Linked DNA regions of Saccharomyces cerevisiae S288C. Changing the gene in region 2 together with the main gene of any one other region gives a genetic interaction. Each region holds a gene or a part of one and is shown on either strand. Other genes may lie near its edges.

The links. Genes that interact genetically often act in the same process or in processes that back each other up.
Region 1: mutations in RAD23 (region 2) and HRK1 together harm fitness more than expected from each alone (negative genetic interaction), as found in Saccharomyces cerevisiae (3 studies listed by BioGRID).

Annotation. Positions count from the first base shown.
Region 1 is NC_001147.6:822,923-826,680, reverse strand, and holds the start of HRK1 (putative serine/threonine protein kinase HRK1), read left to right. Parts: upstream 1-1,813; coding exon 1,814-3,758. Other genes in the region: PAC1 (Pac1p), read right to left, coding at 1-296; YOR268C (uncharacterized protein), read left to right, coding at 749-1,147. UniProt on the Saccharomyces cerevisiae protein: Involved in regulating the activity of the plasma membrane proton pump PMA1.
Region 2 is NC_001137.3:80,931-84,688, reverse strand, and holds RAD23 (Rad23p), read left to right. Parts: upstream 1-2,085; coding exon 2,086-3,282; downstream 3,283-3,758. Other genes in the region: ANP1 (Anp1p), read left to right, coding at 137-1,639; putative acireductone synthase UTR4, read right to left, coding at 3,544-3,758. UniProt on the Saccharomyces cerevisiae protein: Plays a central role both in proteasomal degradation of misfolded proteins and DNA repair.

The sequences.
Region 1 (3,758 bases), on a different chromosome or scaffold from region 2:
ATTTTTTTTTGTAGTCTAACAATTGAGTTCCACTTCTTCGGTAGCAGTAATTCATCAATGTCTACCATACTTTCGTTACTGGTGTCATTGTTACTGATGAATTCTTGCCGGTCCACTGATTCTTGCAACAGAAAACCTGATAGAGTTACAATTGCATGTCGAACACTTTCGTAATCTTGAGCATGCTCATGTCGTACAGTTTGTTTGTAATTCCAATTCAAATATCGGAGGACACTTTTATCGAGTTCATTTTTCTGTGTATCTGTTAAAGGAAGCTGTTGCTGCCAGTTAGTCATTTCTATTTTTTTCTACACTTACGCACGCACAGGTGTATACCAACAACCGGACGACGAACCTAGCTGCTTTATCAATGGCTATCTGGGCGACGATGGCCCAATACTAAGATTACCTATTACGTTTACACTCGCCAAAAATAAGAAACAAGTGCAATATGCACGACTTGCAAGCTGAAAATATTTCAAAACACCCACATCCCACAGCACAAAACCAGTGCAAATTCCATAAAGGGAAGTGAATTAAATTCAATGGTAGATGAAAGCACTTTTTCAGGAACCGTTTTAAGATCTAATTGTAGTTTACCAAGATATACTAAAACGTCGTTACTCGTTTTATTTACCTACCATTAGCTAACCGTTGCCATGGCTACCGTCCGGGTCGCCAGCGGCTGCTACTGCAAAAGTTGACAACGAAAAAGAGAAAAAAAAAATTCTCGGCACGCAAGACCTGAATGGTTTTTGTTTTCCCCTTCCCATTTTTTTCTTATGGTTTTTCCAGTTTTCTAGAAGCCGGAAAAAAGGCAAGCTACAAAATGTACTACGCGGAGCCAGAATTAAAAACCACGCGGACGGGACGGGCCGTGGCTTGTGACGCCGGATCCCCGCGTATAATCCGTGTCACGCTAAAGGACAAAATCGGTTTATCCGAGCGGTTTACGGGAAGGGTCTTTTGCTATCTCGCAGTAGCGTGTGCCTGGTTATCCCAATACTACCACCACACCTGTGCTTTTTTTATCTTGTACGTGCATGTATGCGTATGTTTTCTTTTTTTCCGTTGGTGCTTATTCGCTACCGTCTCGTTGATCCATGAATCACAAACACAAGCCGGTTCTGCTTACTATACAAAATAGTCTTGTGTCTTGATTCATATATCCGTCAATAACGTAGCCTTTCTTTATTTTCCTTTCGCTCACCATACTCTTGCATTAGTGTATTTTGTCTTTTATATCGCCAATAAGTGCCCAACTCTTCTACCTGACCCCTACGTCGTCGCCGCCCCTTTTCTTTTTCTTCGCCTAGTTCTATTTGGCTATATATTTCAGAGTGACAAATCTTTAAGAGAGACAAACTGAGAATTAGCATATAGAATCATTCATACAACTGTTTACAAACAAGTAAGCCCAAGACAGTTCCCAACCGCTTAAAGAAGTTTTTCCTAGAGGGAGCAAAGTTCGTTTACATTTCACACACACAGTTTTTTTTCACTTTTTTGGGCCTCTTCCTTTTCCCGTTTTTTTCAAAAAGCTTAGAAATCTTCTTCACCTCCTATTTTTCTAGAATCGTGAAGAATTTCCAGATTTAACAGTTTTCCACTTTTTCAATAAGGAAATAGTAGGAATAATAAAAAAAGGATAGTAGTAACGATATACGTCGACTTTCCAGACTGGTCTCGAGCCGGAATTAAATACAATAGCAGCGTTTGACTACCACATTGTAGCTCCGCTAGAATTGATCGAAAACAAAAATAATAACACTAATAATTATAATAATACGGTAGAACTATTTCTCGTATAAAGATGCCTAATCTATTGTCGAGAAACCCATTCCATGGTCATCATAATGACCATCATCATGACCGTGAAAATTCGTCTAATAACCCGCCACAGTTGATCAGAAGTTCTAAATCTTTCTTAAACTTCATTGGTAGAAAACAAAGTAATGACTCACTAAGAAGCGAGAAATCTACAGATTCCATGAAATCTACCACAACCACTACAAATTATACTACAACAAACCTTAATAACAACACCCATAGCCATTCTAATGCAACCAGTATCTCAACAAACAACTACAATAATAACTATGAAACAAACCACCACCATAATATTTCTCATGGGCTCCATGACTATACTTCTCCCGCCTCTCCAAAACAAACCCACTCCATGGCAGAATTGAAAAGGTTTTTCAGACCTTCTGTAAATAAAAAACTATCTATGTCTCAACTTCGTTCCAAGAAACATAGCACCCATTCCCCCCCACCTTCAAAATCAACTTCTACAGTTAATTTAAATAATCACTATCGTGCCCAGCATCCTCATGGCTTTACAGACCACTATGCTCATACCCAGTCTGCTATACCGCCAAGTACCGATTCTATCCTATCTTTGTCCAATAATATTAATATATATCACGATGATTGTATTCTGGCTCAAAAATACGGGAAATTGGGTAAGTTATTGGGTTCCGGTGCCGGTGGGTCCGTTAAAGTTCTTGTGAGACCAACTGATGGTGCTACTTTTGCCGTCAAAGAATTCAGACCAAGGAAACCGAATGAGAGTGTGAAAGAATATGCCAAGAAGTGCACCGCAGAATTTTGTATTGGTTCGACTTTACATCACCCAAATGTTATCGAAACTGTTGACGTTTTCTCTGATTCTAAACAAAATAAATACTATGAAGTTATGGAGTACTGTCCGATTGATTTTTTTGCTGTTGTTATGACAGGCAAGATGTCTCGTGGCGAGATCAACTGTTGCTTGAAGCAATTGACTGAAGGTGTTAAATATTTACATTCTATGGGATTGGCACATAGAGATTTGAAATTGGATAATTGTGTCATGACTTCCCAGGGTATTTTGAAATTAATTGATTTTGGTAGTGCTGTTGTGTTCAGATATCCTTTTGAAGATGGCGTAACGATGGCTCATGGAATCGTGGGTAGTGACCCTTACTTAGCGCCGGAAGTGATTACCTCCACCAAATCTTATGATCCTCAGTGCGTCGATATATGGTCTATTGGGATCATATATTGTTGTATGGTGCTTAAAAGGTTTCCATGGAAAGCCCCTAGAGATTCTGACGATAATTTTAGATTATATTGTATGCCGGATGATATAGAACACGACTATGTTGAATCTGCCAGGCATCACGAAGAGTTACTGAAGGAAAGAAAAGAAAAGCGTCAAAGGTTTTTGAATCACAGTGACTGTTCCGCCATCAATCAGCAACAACCAGCTCATGAATCAAACTTGAAAACAGTTCAAAATCAAGTTCCAAATACTCCAGCATCTATACAGGGTAAAAGCGATAACAAACCAGACATTGTGGAAGAAGAAACCGAAGAAAATAAAGAAGATGATAGCAATAATGATAAAGAAAGCACGCCAGATAATGACAAGGAAAGTACCATCGATATTAAAATAAGCAAAAATGAGAATAAAAGCACGGTAGTTTCAGCTAACCCAAAGAAAGTAGATGCCGATGCCGACGCTGATTGCGATGCTAATGGTGACTCTAACGGCAGAGTGGATTGCAAGGCTAACAGTGACTGCAATGACAAAACGGATTGTAATGCTAACAATGACTGCAGCAATGAATCGGATTGTAACGCTAAAGTTGATACTAACGTCAACACTGCTGCCAACGCTAACCCTGATATGGTTCCCCAAAACAATCCACAACAACAACAACAACAACAACAACAACAACAACAACAACAACAACAACAACAACAACAACACC
Region 2 (3,758 bases):
TAGTAGAGACAGCAAGCATTGCAAAACCATTCATCACTCAGTTGCTAGGCGAGTGTTGGTGCGATTTACCCTCATCATCTTTTTTTCGCTCCATTAAACAGTTCCTTGTGGCTTTCATGCAAAGTGTACGTCCATAATGAAGTATAATAACAGAAAACTCTCGTTCAACCCTACCACAGTAAGTATCGCTGGAACGTTGCTTACGGTGTTCTTTCTCACAAGACTCGTGCTTTCGTTCTTCTCGATATCGCTATTCCAGCTGGTAACTTTCCAAGGAATCTTCAAGCCCTATGTTCCAGATTTTAAAAATACTCCCAGCGTAGAGTTCTACGACCTACGAAATTACCAAGGCAACAAAGATGGTTGGCAACAGGGTGACCGCATCTTGTTTTGCGTGCCACTGAGAGATGCTTCTGAGCATCTTCCCATGTTTTTTAACCATCTGAATACCATGACATATCCGCACAACCTGATTGATCTGTCGTTTTTGGTGAGTGACTCTTCGGATAACACCATGGGCGTGTTACTATCCAATCTACAGATGGCGCAATCGCAACAAGACAAGTCCAAAAGGTTTGGTAACATCGAAATCTATGAGAAGGACTTCGGCCAAATCATTGGTCAGTCCTTTTCTGATCGTCACGGGTTTGGCGCCCAGGGCCCCAGAAGAAAGCTGATGGCCAGGGCTCGTAATTGGCTTGGGTCCGTGGCCCTGAAACCATACCACTCCTGGGTTTACTGGAGAGACGTGGATGTCGAAACCATCCCCACTACCATCATGGAGGATCTAATGCATCACGACAAGGACGTCATTGTCCCCAACGTCTGGAGACCTTTACCAGACTGGCTGGGAAACATTCAACCCTACGATTTAAATTCATGGAAGGAATCAGAAGGGGGTCTTCAATTGGCGGATTCCCTAGACGAAGATGCTGTCATTGTGGAAGGGTACCCAGAGTACGCCACTTGGAGACCTCACCTGGCATACATGAGAGACCCAAACGGTAATCCAGAAGACGAAATGGAATTGGACGGTATTGGAGGGGTCTCGATTCTCGCGAAAGCTAAAGTATTCAGAACAGGCTCACACTTTCCTGCATTCTCCTTTGAAAAGCACGCAGAGACAGAAGCATTCGGTAGGCTCTCCCGCAGGATGAATTACAATGTCATCGGCTTGCCCCATTATGTCATCTGGCACATCTACGAACCTTCCAGCGACGACTTAAAGCACATGGCTTGGATGGCTGAAGAGGAGAAGCGGAAACTAGAAGAAGAGAGAATTCGCGAATTTTACAACAAGATCTGGGAGATTGGATTTGAAGATGTCAGAGACCAATGGAACGAAGAAAGAGATTCAATCTTAAAAAACATTGACTCCACTTTGAACAATAAAGTCACTGTAGACTGGTCTGAAGAGGGAGATGGCTCGGAGCTGGTGGACTCAAAGGGTGACTTTGTCTCACCAAACAACCAACAACAACAACAACAGCAACAACAACAACAACAGCAGCAGCAGCAACAGCAACAGCAACAACAGCTCGACGGCAACCCGCAGGGGAAACCTCTTGATGACAACGACAAGAACAAGAAAAAACATCCTAAAGAAGTTCCATTAGACTTCGACCCTGATAGAAACTAGGCTCGGTTTTTTAGTGACCTACATATGAAGTACGAATTCATATAGTTGTACATATATACCGATAATAATATCAAACCTCTATTCTTTGGTCTTTAACTTTTCTTTGAGTGAATTACAATACCATTGTTATATCAATCACTATACACGGCTCGGTGGCGAAATTGAAATTTTTTTATTTTCTTCTCTTTCATTATGGCTAGGCAAGAAATAGCGACAGCAAAACTTAAGAAAAAATGATAGAACAAGGTCCCATCCAGTATTGACTAGTAGCTAAAGCTAGAAGGTACACTTAGGTTTTTCTCCCTGTTTTTAAGTTTGAACCATTGATAAGGCCGTTCGCAGACAAGCTTGCTACCATCCAATTTTCCTTCCTCTAAAGACTTAATAAAGGCATCTAACTCCACCTTTAAATCACAGATCACACAAAGACAACATACAATAGAAAAATGGTTAGCTTAACCTTTAAAAATTTCAAGAAGGAAAAAGTTCCTTTAGATCTGGAACCTTCAAACACAATTTTAGAGACCAAGACCAAGCTTGCTCAATCCATTTCTTGTGAAGAATCTCAAATAAAACTGATCTACTCGGGTAAAGTGCTACAAGATTCCAAAACCGTATCGGAATGCGGGCTAAAAGATGGGGACCAAGTTGTCTTCATGGTTTCTCAAAAAAAGTCCACGAAGACCAAAGTAACAGAACCTCCAATTGCTCCTGAGAGCGCCACTACCCCCGGAAGAGAAAATTCTACAGAAGCATCCCCCAGTACGGATGCTTCTGCAGCTCCTGCAGCCACTGCTCCCGAAGGCTCACAACCGCAAGAAGAACAAACCGCCACTACAGAACGTACTGAATCTGCCTCTACACCGGGATTCGTGGTGGGAACCGAGAGGAACGAGACCATCGAGAGAATCATGGAAATGGGCTACCAAAGAGAGGAAGTCGAACGAGCCTTGAGAGCAGCCTTTAATAATCCAGATAGAGCGGTGGAATATCTACTGATGGGTATTCCAGAAAATCTGCGTCAACCGGAACCACAGCAACAAACAGCCGCCGCAGCGGAACAACCATCGACAGCCGCCACCACTGCGGAACAACCGGCTGAAGACGACTTATTTGCACAAGCTGCCCAAGGCGGTAATGCTTCATCCGGTGCGCTTGGCACAACTGGAGGAGCTACAGATGCTGCGCAAGGTGGACCTCCAGGTTCCATTGGCCTCACTGTAGAAGATTTACTATCGTTGAGACAGGTCGTTTCAGGTAACCCAGAAGCTTTAGCCCCATTGTTGGAAAACATAAGTGCTAGATATCCTCAATTACGTGAACATATCATGGCAAACCCAGAAGTGTTTGTGTCCATGTTGCTAGAAGCCGTGGGTGACAATATGCAAGATGTTATGGAAGGTGCGGATGATATGGTGGAAGGAGAGGATATAGAAGTTACAGGAGAGGCTGCTGCTGCAGGACTGGGACAAGGTGAAGGTGAAGGTTCTTTCCAAGTTGACTATACCCCCGAAGACGATCAAGCTATTTCGCGCCTCTGTGAATTGGGCTTTGAAAGAGATCTTGTTATCCAGGTGTATTTTGCGTGCGATAAAAACGAAGAAGCTGCAGCAAATATTCTATTCAGCGATCATGCCGACTGAGATTGTAGTAATGTTATGGCTTGAAGTATCTTCACTTATTCTCGACAATGTTGCATGATTTTTGAGCCAAGGGAAAAAAAAAGCTTACGTAGAAATCAATAACGTATGTGTATTTATATATGCTAGAAGGGAAAGAAAAGAAAACAGAGAGATGGTAATATTAATCTCAATAATAATAATAATAATAATAATAACAATAATAATAATAATAACAACAACAAATAATGATTATACTGCTTTTAGCGCATATATACAGTTTTGTTAAAGAGTTTCAAAATTCTTGTATACCTGGTACTTTTGCCCATCGGGGACAGGTGCATTACCAGGTCGGGAAGCTAACCCAGTAGCTATTCCAACGCCGGCCGCTGCGTCCAATTCCAATGGATTATCGCTCAAGAACAGTACCTCGCTAGCCTTCGCACCGATATCCCGCAAGATGTTGGCGTAAGACTGTGTTTCGGTTTTCTTTCCAGAAG